Saccharomyces cerevisiae S288C: one gene and its partners. Changing the gene in region 4 together with the main gene of any one other region gives a genetic interaction. Each region holds a gene or a part of one and is shown on either strand. Other genes may lie near its edges. The genes, in order: ESBP6, SDS23, VBA1 and YJR149W.

What was found.
Region 1: mutations in YJR149W (region 4) and ESBP6 together harm fitness more than expected from each alone (negative genetic interaction), as found in Saccharomyces cerevisiae (one large-scale study listed by BioGRID).
Region 2: mutations in YJR149W (region 4) and SDS23 together harm fitness more than expected from each alone (negative genetic interaction), as found in Saccharomyces cerevisiae (one large-scale study listed by BioGRID).
Region 3: mutations in YJR149W (region 4) and VBA1 together harm fitness more than expected from each alone (negative genetic interaction), as found in Saccharomyces cerevisiae (one large-scale study listed by BioGRID).

The regions. Positions count from the first base shown.
Region 1 is NC_001146.8:389,585-393,812, forward strand, and holds ESBP6 (Esbp6p), read right to left. Parts: upstream 2,584-4,228; coding exon 562-2,583; downstream 1-561. Other genes in the region: SPC98 (Spc98p), read left to right, coding at 1-183; NAF1 (RNA-binding snoRNP assembly protein), read left to right, coding at 3,308-4,228.
Region 2 is NC_001139.9:395,469-399,560, forward strand, and holds SDS23 (Sds23p), read right to left. Parts: upstream 2,151-4,092; coding exon 567-2,150; downstream 1-566. Other genes in the region: GEP7 (Gep7p), read right to left, coding at 1-361; OLE1 (stearoyl-CoA 9-desaturase), read left to right, coding at 3,160-4,092. UniProt on the Saccharomyces cerevisiae protein: Involved in DNA replication and cell separation during budding.
Region 3 is NC_001145.3:442,894-447,066, forward strand, and holds VBA1 (Vba1p), read right to left. Parts: upstream 2,210-4,173; coding exon 521-2,209; downstream 1-520. Other genes in the region: PDL32 (putative ADP-ribose 1''-phosphate phosphatase), read left to right, coding at 1-488; m-AAA protease subunit YTA12, read right to left, coding at 2,716-4,173. UniProt on the Saccharomyces cerevisiae protein: Transporter required for vacuolar uptake of at least histidine and lysine.
Region 4 is NC_001142.9:705,213-708,934, reverse strand, and holds YJR149W (putative nitronate monooxygenase), read right to left. Parts: upstream 1,776-3,722; coding exon 561-1,775; downstream 1-560. Other genes in the region: DAN1 (Dan1p), read left to right, coding at 1-124; branched-chain-amino-acid transaminase BAT2, read right to left, coding at 2,061-3,191; HMS2 (Hms2p), read right to left, coding at 3,663-3,722. UniProt on the Saccharomyces cerevisiae protein: Catalyzes the oxidation of alkyl nitronates to produce the corresponding carbonyl compounds and nitrites.

The DNA of each region.
Region 1 (4,228 bases), on a different chromosome or scaffold from region 4:
TTCATTAAAATGAATCTCAATGATCACGAAGCATCTAACGGATTATTGGGAAAATTTAATACGAATTTAAAGGAAATTGTTAGCCAGTATAAAAATTTTAAAGACAGACTGTATATTTTTAGGGCAGATTTAAAGAACGATGGCGATGAAGAGCTTTTCTTATTGAGCAAATCGCTCCGTTAAGAAATGATCCCGTCCCGTTTTTCATTTATAATAAATTTCCTCCACGCAGGTTTAATGTATAAGTTGTAATGGTAGCAAATGATTTACAGATTTATTTGCAAGTAAAGAGACTCTTTTTTCGTTTTGTTTTTCCTGGATCCGCAACACAAAGTGTATTACATATGGATACATGGAATATCTTTACAGTGCTAAATATATTAGGTTAAAAAAAGGTCGTTTTCTGTAAAGAATGCTTTTTCAGCGTTAACTTTACGTCTTTTTGATAATAAAGAAATTTAATTAGGTGAAGCGGAGATATTGAATATTATGTACTAATGATATGATGAGTAGGCGACGTAACTATCGCGTATATAACATGAATCAGGTCGTCGAAAAGAACTAGACCTTCATTGGATATACCATTCTTAGGAAGTATTTTTTAATGCCCGGACCTAAAAGAAGGTCATATTTAGTCTTTCTTTCTTTTAATTTACCCCAATCTTCATCGGCAGAATCGGTATCGTATTCGCTTGCCTTCCATTCTTTTAACTTCTCGTTTGTCATAGCTTGTCTTTCCGTTAATTTCATCCTGATAGAATATTCACGAAGGATAGAAATTAAAATTAGTGCGGCAATAAAGCAGCAACCGCAAAAAATTTGTGCATGTAAGTAAGGATTGCTCTTATCTTTCTCCACCGTCAATGCCTGGGCAATCACCTCACAAACCAATAAGAAAGGCGCACCACAGTAGTTGACGAAGGCCCAAGCGGGCAAAAACTCTTCTGGTTTAACCATATCGGCAATCAGAACGGTATTCATGACGTTGGCGACACCAACGCATGAGCCAACTAGAATTGAAAAAAAGATGAGTTGAACAAACGTATGAGCGGGGATCCAGAACGCAAACATATATATTGTTAACAAAGTGGTTAATACGATCGTTACGTTTGCCCTACCAAACTTATCTCCCGCTAAACCCATCAGAGGTCTTCCGATGGATTGCGAGCCGTTCAAAATGGCAGTCAATGTGGAAGCGTCGTGCGATGATAATCCTTTCGAGATTGCGTATGAAGATAAAGTAAAAACCATCATATTGTAGGCAAATAATGCGAACATGAACCATAATGCAATAAGTACCACAAATGGCTTAGTTATAACCTTTAATGAAAACATTGCTTTGAGCTGTTCAAACATGGCCCGAGGCGATTTCAATCCTATGGCAGGTGTAGGGTTTCTTTCTTTTAAGAGCGCAATAGCAACTAGAACACTTATGCTACACGATATGCCTATGATACGAAGGCACCACCGGGTATTTCCAAAGTCAGAAAGCATTTTGTTTGTAGCCAAACCGTAAACGACACCACCAGCACCGGTACCCAATAATGAGACACCCATTGCGACAGCTCTTTTTTTCAAGAACCATCCTGGTAAGACGGTTGTTGCTGGAACGAAAATCAGTGATATTGAACAACCGACCATAAAACCTTGGGTGACATACAATTGCCATAACTTGGTAGTAAAGGAGGCCAAGAGATATGCGGCAAGCATTACAGCATCACCAAAAAGCATGGTGGTCCGCAGACCAATTATTCTCATCAGTGCCATCACAAGGGGGGATAAGAGTTGACCGAGAAAGACAGTTAGGCCAGCAATTAAGGCATAATCGTACTTCGAAGCACCAGGGTAAGTATCATGGTTTAAGTAGTAGGCAAGGTCGACACCGAAGGATGCGTTGCAGCCCCACGTGGAAAACATGGTCAAGAACACACAGAATGTCACGACCCAGCCATAACCACCGTCGGGGGGCAGTTCCAGCTGCCCGGTAGACTTGTTGGTGAATACTTTTTTTACAGTCGGTTCATCAGGCTCGAATTCGGTTATTCCTTGGGCCTCAAGATCCTTACCGGAGTGTTTCGTGGAAGCCGGATATAGTCTATTCCTCATGAGTTTGGAGTCCATGGAAGCTTTATGTTCTGTAGTATCATTTTGAATAGAAGAAGCAGAGAAAGCAGAGGAAGATGGTGCCGACAACGAGGCGCCTGCAGTCGTGGTGTGTGTGACTGGGATGTTTAACTTTGACTGGACTGACTCATTGTGCTGTAGCCTAATGGCATCGGCCACGTCAAATCTAGATTCTAATATTTTATTAACGTCTGCGGAATTTTCTTCCGTCTGCAAGTTGTCGTCATCGACAGCCTTTTTAATGTCGTTGAGCCGATTAGTTAACGTCCTACTAATAGACAATTTTCTCGATGCATCGTTCGACTTGGTGCTGTGTAGATCAGAGCATGGAACCGGAGCAGCAATAGAAGCCTTAGAGAATGATACAGGCTGTGAAGAGTTTATCGAAGAAACCTCGGACGATGTCTCAGAGACCATTCCGGAAGAAGCAGAAAAGTAGTCGTTTGAGTGCGTTGACATTTTTCAGATTTATTTTCAGAAGCCCCGTAATTATACCTAAAGAAAAAGTAAAGAAAAGTGGAGAAAACAAAAGAAAAAGATAAAACTTTTAAATATGTGGTGTGACAAATGCAAAATACTATTCTGACTCGCACATTTAACTAACAAAAGAAAATTTGTCTAAGTCTAGCAGCTTTGGTAGAATATAGAAGAAACAGTCTAGTTTTGGCTCCGATATGAGTGGACAAAGCATCAAGATCTAAGGAATGCCAAGTATTTATCCAGGTTCTCCCGAAGACTTTTCTTCAATAGCGGCGGGGGTTTTTTTTTTTTGCAGATTGCCGAGATAGCCCGCGGCAAAGATACGTTATCTCGGTTATCGTCGGCAAGCGCTATTGTAACTAGATATAGGAAACTGTGGTCTGCAAAGATGCGGTATAAGGCCTCCGTCTGTTCTTACTGCGTTATCAGCCTTTGACAGTTTTAGTTCGTCAGGGTCTTTGACCAAATGATAAATTCCCTGGTTTACATTTTCACTAGTTTGTTCTCGAGCAATGCTTAGTTGGCACATAAATGAGTCAGGCACTACCACTCGGGTAACGGTCTGCGCGTTTCTTTTTGCGGCCATGAAATTTTTCAGGCGATGAGCTTAAAGGTAAAGGAAAAAGATGGTAGGATGATAGGTAGGATGAAGCGGTATGAAAGTGGAAGAAGCACAATATAGCACGTCGAAACAGTGCTAATCATGAGCGATGACTTGTTTTCTAAGGCTTTGGAGAATCCCGACCAGGACTTGAACGTGGAATTGCCCAAGGATGATGTTGATTTAGGTCTTTTAGGTGATGGTGGGAACGAGAGGAAGACCGATGAACCGGTAGCAGACGCAGAAAGATCAACAGGCCTAGGATCCGGCTCTTCTGAATCCGAATCAGATTCCGGTTCTGATTCTGATTCTGATTCTGGCTCTTCAGGTAGTGAGGATGATTCTGCAGATCAGGACGTTGAAGGAGAGGACGAAGGTGGTGACGCGATTGAAAATGAAGACGAAGACGAAGACCCTTCACCTTCCGGTCCTATACTATCGAAGAACGAAATACTAGAGGAAACTGTTCCTGAACTACCGGAAGATTATGAAATTTCAGAAAAAACGATCATCACTCCTATTGGTGTTTTGAAGTCTGCATTTGAAAATAATATAATCATTCACGCCACGATGTCGGGCGAAAAGCGTGTTTTAAAAGAGGGTTCCATTTTCTGTCTCGAGGATAGAACTTTGATCGGGATGTTGACGGAGGTGTTTGGACCCTTGCAAAACCCATTTTATAGAATTAAGTTGCCCGATTCAAAAAAAAACTTATTCGATGAATTAAAAGTGCGTTTGGGTGAGAAAGCCTTTATAGTCACCCCTGATGCCCACTGGATAGATACTTTCGAGTTAAAGCGCAACAAAGGTACTGATGCGTCTAATGGGTACGATGAAGAATTACCTGAAGAGGAACAAGAATTTTCCGACGACGAAAAAGAGGCCCTTTTCAAGAAAATGAAGAAACAGCAACGGCAACGAAAGAAAAGGGACAACCGCAAACTAGCCAACGATAGTGACAATGTCAAGGTAAAGAGAGCTCGGCAGCCCAAGGCCAACAGTTTACCTAAACTGGTACCGCCG
Region 2 (4,092 bases), on a different chromosome or scaffold from region 4:
TGAAGAATTTGTTCATAATGACACCAAGCTCGCCGTTGTTTAGACGCTCAGTTAATAAATGATCGCGTTTCAAACCACTTGTTTCGTCTTCATCTAGATCTGGTGCACTTGGCTGCAAGACGCTAAATATCTCGGACATGGTCTGTGAGAAGGAAATGGGGTTTTCTGTAGATGTAGTACTGCCATTTTGAGCTAACCGTATTTTCTGCTTCAAAAGCAGTGAAGCCGGTGGAATTCTTTCTAATTTTGGTTGATAAAATCTCTTTACCAAAAGATTTCCTGCGACTGCTTTAATCATGGGACCGATTCTGAAGGCTCTATGCGATTTTAATCTGAAGATTTTAACATTTGACAGTACCATCTCAATCGGACCTTTTAACTGATTTTAGCGAGAACATGTGTATATATTTCCTCTAAGAAAAGAAAGGGCCTAAAAACCTCGCCCCAGTGCATAATAAAAGTAAAAAAAAAAAAATCAAACTTTATTGGGATAAAATAAAAATCAGAAAAACCCTTATATATGTATATGTAGTTAAATGAAGCCAGTTTTTTTCGTCTGGTTTGTTTCAGCCTATATGCCCTCTTTGCTTTCTTGCCATCTGCGGATCAATTTCCTTATGATGCGTTTGTTTTCTTGCCAAAACACTTAATATGTCAGTCAATGACACAACACCTATCAATTTACCTGTTCTATACTCCTTTTCGAAATGTGCTGGAGTTGGAGATGCGGGACAATTACTTGGACTTTGAGGTGGTGGCATTGTGGCCGATGGAGACTGTGGTTGAGAAGGTGAGGGACCACTCAAATTTATATTTACATTTATTTTATTGTTTGATGTATCTGAAGATTTTAGAACAGGAGAGTTGGCCATCCTGGAAGATTGCGTGTTCGAATGGTATGACGACGCAAGCGATGGCAATGTCGTTACGGGTGGAGTACTTGGTGATGGAGATGAGGATTTTTCGGAAGATGCTGTTGGTTGATTGTCATTTGGTTGTACTATCCATAATCTGTGAGATTTGGTAGCGACCAATTTGGCAAACGTTCTTGCCAGGGAACTTGTTGGATACACATGGAAAATAGGAAATGAGTCCTTACCGGTCTCTAGGCCCCTTAAATTCAAAATAACCGAGACAAAATGACGACATGTATTGTGTAATAAAGGATATTGTGAAGTTCTGGTGACGTGTTTGACGTCTGTTACTGAAATATTACCAATCAAGTTTCCCTGCGGGTCAACTACCGCAATGGAAGAGATTCTTTCGACATACATTTTATGCAGAGCCATAATTAGATGCTCGTCACCTTGGATGGATATGACACGTGACTGCTTGAATGTAGGTTTATCACGGGCTGCATTTAGTACACCAATATTCAGCTCCTCCAGGGAAGAGTCCAAGAGAGGCTTCAAGTTGGGAAATGATCTCGCATTCTCCCACAGATACTTAATCAATCGACGTTGGGAAAGTATACCTTTAATCTGTGTCATTTCCACGTTCGTGATGGCAACACGATGCACACCTGAGCCTAGTATGCCTATTACCGTCGATAAGTTTTCCGTTTCGGGCAATTTGTAGAATGGATTCTTAGGTGTCAACTTTACTATCTCGCCCACGGGCACGGACTTACCATTCTGGCAGTCTGAGGTTATCTTGTCGTTGCTCACCTTGATCCTGTTTAATACAAGAAGAAGGTACGCATTGAGATCATTATAGTCGAATGTTAAACAATTCATGTCTCCCGGAAAATTCTCCACAGGCAAAGACGTTAGCTGGTGCTTGACCAGCGTGTTGAATGCTTCCTCTACGGAAATAGAACCTCTGATGAAAATCAATTTGTTCTGTTCCACCAAATTTGACAGAGGAGTGTGTTGCCACTCCTGCCTATGAACAGATAACAGATTCTGTGAATTCAAGGTGGACAAGGAGTTGCCATTATTGTTTGAGTATTCCGTGTTATCCAGCGTGGAGAGAGAAGATGAAGATGACGATTTCGAAATAGATTTATGTAGTGATTCTGTGTCGCTTTTGTTTGCTTCAGTGTTCTTGTCTGTCTGTTCGCTCAAACTATTTAAATCTGTGGAATTCGGTAATTGAGGTGGGGTAGAAAGCATTTCTACGATGGACGTGTGTCTTGTATTTTGAGGCATTGGGTGGGTCTTGCTGAAAAGATGATGTTCTGAGGTATTCGTATCGCTAGCTTGATACGCTTTTAACAAAAGTAAGCTTTTCGTTTGCAGGTTTGGTTACTTTTCTGTACGAGATGATATCGCTAAGTTTATAGTCATCTGTGAAATTTCTCAAAAACCTCATGGTTTCTCCATCACCCATTTTTCATTTCATTTGCCGGGCGGAAAAAAAAAAGGAAAAAAAAAAAAAAAAAAAATAAATGACACATGGAAATAAGTCAAGGATTAGCGGATATGTAGTTCCAGTCCGGGTTATACCATCACGTGATAATAAATCCAAATGAGAATGAGGGTGTCATATCTAATCATTATGCACGTCAAGATTCTCCGTGACTATGGCTCTTTTCTGAAGCATTTTTCGGGCGCCCGGTGGCCAAAAACTAACTCCGAGCCCGGGCATGTCCCGGGGTTAGCGGGCCCAACAAAGGCGCTTATCTGGTGGGCTTCCGTAGAAGAAAAAAAGCTGTTGAGCGAGCTATTTCGGGTATCCCAGCCTTCTCTGCAGACCGCCCCAGTTGGCTTGGCTCTGGTGCTGTTCGTTAGCATCACATCGCCTGTGACAGGCAGAGGTAATAACGGCTTAAGGTTCTCTTCGCATAGTCGGCAGCTTTCTTTCGGACGTTGAACACTCAACAAACCTTATCTAGTGCCCAACCAGGTGTGCTTCTACGAGTCTTGCTCACTCAGACACACCTATCCCTATTGTTACGGCTATGGGGATGGCACACAAAGGTGGAAATAATAGTAGTTAACAATATATGCAGCAAATCATCGGCTCCTGGCTCATCGAGTCTTGCAAATCAGCATATACATATATATATGGGGGCAGATCTTGATTCATTTATTGTTCTATTTCCATCTTTCCTACTTCTGTTTCCGTTTATATTTTGTATTACGTAGAATAGAACATCATAGTAATAGATAGTTGTGGTGATCATATTATAAACAGCACTAAAACATTACAACAAAGATGCCAACTTCTGGAACTACTATTGAATTGATTGACGACCAATTTCCAAAGGATGACTCTGCCAGCAGTGGCATTGTCGACGAAGTCGACTTAACGGAAGCTAATATTTTGGCTACTGGTTTGAATAAGAAAGCACCAAGAATTGTCAACGGTTTTGGTTCTTTAATGGGCTCCAAGGAAATGGTTTCCGTGGAATTCGACAAGAAGGGAAACGAAAAGAAGTCCAATTTGGATCGTCTGCTAGAAAAGGACAACCAAGAAAAAGAAGAAGCTAAAACTAAAATTCACATCTCCGAACAACCATGGACTTTGAATAACTGGCACCAACATTTGAACTGGTTGAACATGGTTCTTGTTTGTGGTATGCCAATGATTGGTTGGTACTTTGCTCTCTCTGGTAAAGTGCCTTTGCATTTAAACGTTTTCCTTTTCTCCGTTTTCTACTACGCTGTCGGTGGTGTTTCTATTACTGCCGGTTACCATAGATTATGGTCTCACAGATCTTACTCCGCTCACTGGCCATTGAGATTATTCTACGCTATCTTCGGTTGTGCTTCCGTTGAAGGGTCCGCTAAATGGTGGGGCCACTCTCACAGAATTCACCATCGTTACACTGATACCTTGAGAGATCCTTATGACGCTCGTAGAGGTCTATGGTACTCCCACATGGGATGGATGCTTTTGAAGCCAAATCCAAAATACAAGGCTAGAGCTGATATTACCGATATGACTGATGATTGGACCATTAGATTCCAACACAGACACTACATCTTGTTGATGTTGTTAACCGCTTTCGTCATTCCAACTCTTATCTGTGGTTACTTTTTCAACGACTATATGGGTGGTTTGATCTATGCCGGTTTTATTCGTGTCTTTGTCATTCAACAAGCTACCTTTTGCATTAACTCCTTGGCTCATTACATCGGTACCCAA
Region 3 (4,173 bases), on a different chromosome or scaffold from region 4:
TTGACCTACAGCGATGTCTTGAAGAGAAAACAATTGAATGTAGAGATGGTATTAGGTATATTATTCATGTTCCGACCGTTGTAGCCCCATCAGCTCCTATATTTAATCCGCAGAATCCCCTCAAGACAGGGTTTGAACCGGTTTTCAACGCCATGTGGAATGCCTTGATGCATTCTCCAAAAGACATTGATGGTCTTATTATTCCTGGATTATGTACTGGGTATGCAGGTGTACCACCCATTATCAGTTGCAAGAGTATGGCCTTTGCGTTAAGACTATATATGGCGGGAGATCACATAAGCAAAGAATTGAAAAATGTGCTGATCATGTATTATTTGCAATATCCGTTTGAACCTTTTTTCCCGGAAAGTTGCAAAATAGAGTGCCAAAAACTAGGAATAGATATCGAAATGCTGAAATCCTTTAATGTAGAAAAAGATGCAATAGAATTGCTCATTCCTAGAAGGATTTTGACCTTGGATTTATAAAGGTATATAATATAAAGTCTATTTTCAATTTTTCAAGAACTTGAACTACGTTTGTAAGTATGTTTCACCAGATATAACGATAAAACAATTCCCACTGCTGCCAGGGCTATATTTGGAATATAGGAAATCAGGAATGCCTTTTTGTAGACATCAAGAATGCGAACAAATATATCCGTTGGAAAATTGGGCCCTCTCAAGTAACTCGAATCATTGATAAGGGAGTAGTACTGCTTTTTGGTGAAGTGATATTCGTCATCACGCTTGGTTTTGAACATATAATTCCATAACATGGACGACAGGCTATTCTCATAGGACACTAAAGTTAAAGAGGCACCAAGAACGTTACCAATGGATCTCCACAAATAGAAAACACCAGTCATGGTTCCTTGCTGTGATTTTTCGACGGTGAATACGATGCTTACTAACGTGGCCACTAATAGACAAGCGTAACCAAAGGACACAAGGACTGATGCAAACACATATATCAATTTCCACCATATTGAGTTAGATCTGAATGTAATAGACTCAAGCATATCATATATGGTGTAGTCAGGATTCAAGTGTGAAAGTAGGAAATAGCCCAATCCCAAACCCAATAGCTGCATTATCATACCACCAAAAATGATTTGATATGCACAGTGTGCTAGGTTAATTTTCGTATTCCGCAATACCCATCCTGTTACCAATGATCCGACTGCAACTGATATAGAGGGGAAAATCAAAAAGAGGCCAGTCTTTGTTACACTAATATTTTGAAGCAATTGTAAATAGATTGGTGACCTAAAGATTTCACCAAATACAACAAATGAAGATATAACCGTTACCGCTGAGCTCAAACAGAATGAGCGAGTCAATAGTTCGAATGGTAAAATTTTCTCAGTCGCGTAATAACGTTCAACCAGGATAAAAACAATAAAGCTACCAATGGTAAACAATGCTAAATACAACTTGTTCAACTGGCTAGAGCACAAAAATAAAACTCCACTAATGGTCGCCACCAGGCTTAATGAGCCAAATATATCTATCCGTGACAGATTCTTTAAGGTATATCTTTCTTTCATAGGAGGAACATGGAATAGCTTAATATTAATGTTTTTGATTGCTAATACCGAGCACAACATTATCACGGGTACTTGGATACCAAAAAGAGCCCTCCATCCAATGGTTTCTATAAATACACCACCCAACGGAGCACCTAGTAATTGACCAAACCCGAAAACAATATTCGCATATCCCTGGTAAACGCCCCTTTCTCTTGCTGTACATATGTCACTAACAGCAATGCTACTAATAGCATTCAATCCTCCTGCACCAATACCACATATGGCTCTTGCTATTGAGAATTCCGTGACGTTTCTGGCAAAACATGTTAATAAGCACCCAAGGCCAAAAAAAAATTGAGCGGTTAATAATGCTGACTTCCGCCCTGTTATATCAGAAAGCTTCCCATATAGTGGTTGGAAAGCCGTATTTGTCAAAAGAAAACTCGTCGCAATCCATTGCTTTTTACTTGATTCAGAGAATTCCTCAGCAACTCTATTCATTATATTTGCGACAATAGTGCTATCCAAGGAACTCAAAAAACTACCCAACCATAGCGAAAACAAAATGGGAAACTTAGGTAAGGCCAAATTATATTCATGAAATTTTTGTTCCAAGGGAGGGGCTTCAGCTTCCTCAGGTGGAGGGAGTAGATTTGAAGTCTCGTCTAGTGTTTGCATTCTTCTTGTTCCCTCAACAACTAGGGCTCTGAGCTTAGTGAAGAACAAAGAGGAGACAAAAAACAAAATAATTCGATAGAAAAAAATCGCTGCTGTATTCTTATATTTTGGGAATGTGGGTTGGCCTAAAGTGGAACCGCATGCTCTTCTCTATCACCGGCCCTTAAGATGACCTACGTTTATTGTCGGACAGATATCATCCAACAAAACGACGCAGTGAAAAAGTGTATCATGCGAATACTGAAGATAAGATAGGCTAAGCCGTGGAATCAGCGATAAAAAAAAGATCGCGTGTATTAACCAATGACAGCCTCACAGAAGCGCTTTGATCATATATAGATATAGGTGCATTTATACACGTATATATATTTACATGTTTTCAGATTAGATTATATGGTAAATACGTGACAGTGTTCTACCGAAAAAGAAAGATGTCTGGCTTTCAATAAAATAAGCAAGATATGTAGAACAGTCTTCCTCCATTTCTTTGTATTGTGAAATATCAATCAGTTTGTAGATGGCTTAGGCTCATTACGTTTTTCGTTTTTTTCTTCTTCCTTCCTGATTTTTTCCGTTTCGTAATCGTTCAAGTACTTATCAAAAGCATCATTCCTTTCTGGGAAAGGGCGCTTACCAAGTAAATCAATCATATCTTCTCTTGTCAAAACTTCTTTTTTCAGTAGTACTTGAGCAATCTTCTCTACATCTTCTGCTTTTTCTTTAAGCAGCTTTGTACATCTGTCATGGCATTCTTGGACGATTCTGTATACTTCGGAATCAATAATGTCACCTGTCTCGTCCGAAAATGGTTTTGTCAAATCGCTATCATCTCTCTTCTGGTAATTGACCCAGCCAATTTTATCACTCATGCCTAATTCTGTGACCATTGCCGTGGCCATGCTAGTAACTTTTTTGAAGTCATCAGATGCGCCACTTGTAACTGATGGGAAATGTAATTCTTCAGAAACTCTTCCACCCAGAGACATGGTCATTCTGTCCTTAAGTTGCTGTTCAGTTAGTAAGAAGATATCACCTGGCAAATACTGTGCATAACCAAGGGCGCCCTGGCCACGTGGAATAATACTGACTTTCAGAAGAGGATCTGCGTATTTTAAGTACCATCCACATACAGCATGACCAGCCTCGTGGTAAGCCACTACTTTCTTCTCTTCGGGAGAGAGTAGCTTGGATTTGCGTTCCACTCCACCGATGACTCTTTCGATAGCTTGTTCAAAATGATTCAATTTTACTGCATCTTCATCACTTCTAGCAGCAATCAAGGCGGCCTCGTTACAAACGTTGGCAATATCAGCACCAGAAAAGCCTGGCGTCAAAGCCGCTAATCTATTTTTCAAATCAAAAATTTCCCCGGCAAGTTTCAAATGATGTAAATGAACAGCAAAAATGGCTTTTCTACCCTCAAGTTCGGGCTTGTCGATATTGATATGCCTGTCAAATCTACCAGGCCTTAATAATGCTTTATCGAGAATATCGGGTCTATTGGTACCAGCTAAAACAACAACGTGGTCAGCTGGAGTGAAACCATCCATTTCTACTAACATTTGATTTAGCGTGTTCTCTCTCTCATCATTGGCACCTGAAAAATTACCCTTTTGTCTTGCTTTTCCTATAGCATCAATTTCGTCAATAAACACAATTGAGGGTGCATTTTCTCTTGCAGTTTTGAACAAATCTCTTACTCTTGCTGCACCAACACCAACAAACATTTCTACAAATTCTGAACCAGAAACAAAATAAAACGGAACACCGGCTTCACCTGCTGTTGCCTTTGCAAGCAAAGTTTTACCGGTACCTGGTGGACCAGATAGAATCGCACCTCTAGGAATTTTAGCTCCCATTTTTTCATAACGAGAAGGTTCTTTCAAGAAGCTAACAAACTCCATAATTTCTTCCTTAGCCTCATCGCATCCGGCAACGTCCTTGAACTTGATCTTAACGTCTGT
Region 4 (3,722 bases):
AGCTACTTCTGTCACATCGTCAGCATCTCGTGTTATTGACGTTACCACTAACGGTGCTAACAAGTTCAATAACGGTGTTTTCGGTGCCGCTGCTATTGCTGGTGCCGCCGCTCTATTGTTATAGTGATCATGTGCGGCCCTGTACAGTTGTATAAATGATGTAAAATAATTGAATTCTCTTAATTTTAATATTTATAAGATATATACTATAAGCGTAAGGAAATTCCAAAGAAATTTGTTTTTTAGTTTGCAGTCTTGTGCTCCAACTATTTCCGGTCCTTTTCGAATTTCATGTCAGGAGCATTCCTTATTGCAGACAGCTTAACAGAAAAAAAACTGTGAAAAAAATAAATACCTTTAGATATTAAAGCCCTAAATTGATATCAAATTTTTTCCATATTTGGATTTTGTATTCCTTAAAGCCCACATCCTGTGAACGGTTACGCTCAAATAATGGCCAAGTAACCTACGATCCAATAGCGACGTATATATATCATATAGAAAAAGGTCATCCAGAAAATTTGTGTCAATAAGTATCAGGTCTTTTATATGTATTTATATTATTTTCCGTCAATTTTCAATCTTGCGCCCATAGTTTCAATTTTCTTGTCTGTTGTGATTCCTGATTGGACATTCTGAAATCCTTGTCCAGCTAAAATAAAGTTAGCCAATTCTGGATACTTTTTTCTTACTTGCTTGAAAGCACTATACATGTAGCCATATGGAGGAAGCTCCTCACCTTGAAAATTAGCAATGACTTTTTCGATAAAAGGAGTAGAGATGGTCCTTGCAGGCTTTCCTGATATTATATTAACCATTTTAGTTGTTGTTTCTCGAGTGAAGGGGCTTGAAAAGTTTTTTGATGCATTGGATTCACTGCAACCAAGAAAAGCAGTCCCCACTTGAACAGCGTCTGCTTGCTGTGATAACATGTATGATATATCTTTGGAATCCATTATACCACCTGCTGCAATGACAAAGGGAGTAGCATGTATAAGACCTTTATTTTTCATTTCAGCAAGTTCATCAACTGTTCTTTTCACCAATTGTACAGTTGATAAGTTTTCATCATCTTTGGGGTCATTTACTAAGAAATTTCCTCTATGTCCTCCCGCTTCATAGCCTTGACACACTATGCCATTAATGCCGAGACGTGCTAACAATCGAACTTCTCTTACAGAGGTGGCAGTCACAAAAATTAGAATTCCAATTTTTTGTAAATATTCTATTGTAGATTTCGACGGATGGCCAAAATGGAAACTAATGATTTTAGGCCTAAAGCCATCTGATAGGTACTGGAAAAAATCTTGAAGAGCATTTTCTTTTTCAAATGCCTTAAAAGATACATTACCATTATCGAATTTAATCTCATTCATATCAATCGGCACATTCATAGACTTTCTGTATAGCTTCGCCCAGTTAGCTGTTTGAAGATCGGTCGGTTTATCAACGATATCATGGCAAAAAAAGTTTAGGTTGAGATTGCCCTCTAAAGATTCATCGGCTACTTGATCTCTGAATTGTGAAACCATCAGTTTAAGCTTTTCAATATCATTGACCTTTCTGAAGTCTAAGTGGGATAGGGGTAGTGAAGCTATGGCGCCCGCAATACAAGCCTTAGCGGCCATTTCAATAGTCGTGACCCCCGCCATAGGGGCCTGGATGATAGGGTATCTCAAGTTTAAACATTTTTGGAAAGATCTGCTCATATCTTCTCTTTTATCCACCGACATTACGGAAACGTCTTGAAATATTAGTTGGTTTAAAAAGTACATGAATTGTCTTGAGTTGCTTCTAAGGTATGTATGGGCCCTTTTCTATCCGCGCAAAAGATGTCCTTGATACCGATAGGCCAGCACTAGATGACAAGAAAAAAAACGAAAGGATAATTGCAGGTTTCGACATACATTTTTTATCAGATCACTGCAAAATCCAGGAATTCATATATACAATGTCAAAGGGTATGTTATATTCTGACATGACCCCTTAACTCAGTAGAAAAAACGCTCTAGTTTTATTCTTTTTAACTTTTAATTACTTTACGTAGCAATAGCGATACTTCAGTTCAAATCAGTAACAACCCTTGACCAATTGCCATGCTCAGTCTCGCCATATTGGATTCCATTAATCCATTGTGCAACTTCTTTGGCCAATGGACCGGTTTGTTCGCCGGGCAACAACGGAATATTAATTTGTTCGCCTTTCCAGCCGATTTCCTTAATGGGAGAAACAATCGCAGCAGTACCAGAACCAAAGGCTTCAAGTAGTTCACCGTTCTTGGATCTCTCAGTAACTTCGCCTATAGTGAAGTAGCGTTCACTAATGGTCCATTCACTTGGTTCGAGTCTTTCTTTAGCAAGATTTAAAATGGAATCCCTAGTAACACCTTCCAAAATGGTACCGTCTAGTGGAGCAGTAACTAGTTCCTTCTTGCCCGTTTTACTATCTTTAAACACGAAAAAAGCATTCATGGTGCCGACTTCAGTAATGTTGTTATTTGGACCAAATAGCCATAAATTTTGTTGGTAACCCCTTGAAGCAGCTTGCAATTGTGGCAGGACGCAGGGGGCGTAGTTTGCACCTAGTTTCTTGTCACCACAGCCTCCTGGCCAAGCTCTTGTGGCATAATCAGTGGCTTCCAGTCTGACCGCCTTAAATCCAGTTTTGTAATAAGGACCCACAGGGCAGCAAATGACATATAGCAAGGCTCTATCAGGCGTGGAAACCCCTAAACCGGCCGTAGTGCCGATTAATGTAGGCCTGATATATAAAGAGTAACCTTTTCCTTCAGGAACTAAGCACTTATCTTGCTGGATCAGTTTCCCAATTAGGGTAATCAACTCTTCTGGGTCGAACGTTGGCAAACAGATTCTCTGAGCAGACTTATTCATGCGCTTCATATTCATATCTGGACGAAACATTGTAATTTTGTTGTCCACCGTTCTGTAAGCCTTCATCCCTTCGAATAGCTCAAAAGCATAATGGAAAACCACCGCGGAAGGGTCTAAAGACAGATTTTGATAAGGTTTAATCTCTGGGGTACCCCACCCTTTTTCAGCTGTCCATTCCGCAGTTAACATGTGGTCCGTGAAGCTCTTGCCAAACACTAACTCACTGTTCGGTTTTGGCTTAGATGCATGTTGTGTGGTAGTTATCTTAACTTTGGAGGCGTCTAGGGGTGCCAAGGTCATATCGTTCTTAAAACTCGTGGAGATGCTTTCCCTTAAATTTCTAAAATTTTAGTAGTTAGTCTGTTTTTATTAAGGATTTCTCAAAGGAATGAATTTTTTCCCAGGAAATAGTCGAATATCTTGTAAGCTTATATTAGTTATACTGTCAGCTCATTTCGGATCTCCTCTCACTCACGTACGGCTCTTAATTTCTACCTATTATTTCCGTTTTTGTTGACAGAAAAACGGACATAGAAGAACGACACCAAAAAGAAAAAGAGTCGGATCTACAGATTAGATAACAAGAGGTGTCAGAGAGGGAAAAGAAGCTAAATTAAGTGTCACCCGAAAGCGGAAAAAGAACGCCGTTTGCAAGAATGGTTCCGGGGCCAATGGAACATTAAACTTTGGTGTAGTGCGGTCACAGAAAAAAAAAATCGTACACGTATATAGTGGTATGCTAGGTCGTGAATGACCCTCAGAGGCAGGTTTTCACGTTCGAAGATGTTTGGAAAGGAGCGTTATAAGTTGTGTTGGGGTGAAGGGGCTAAC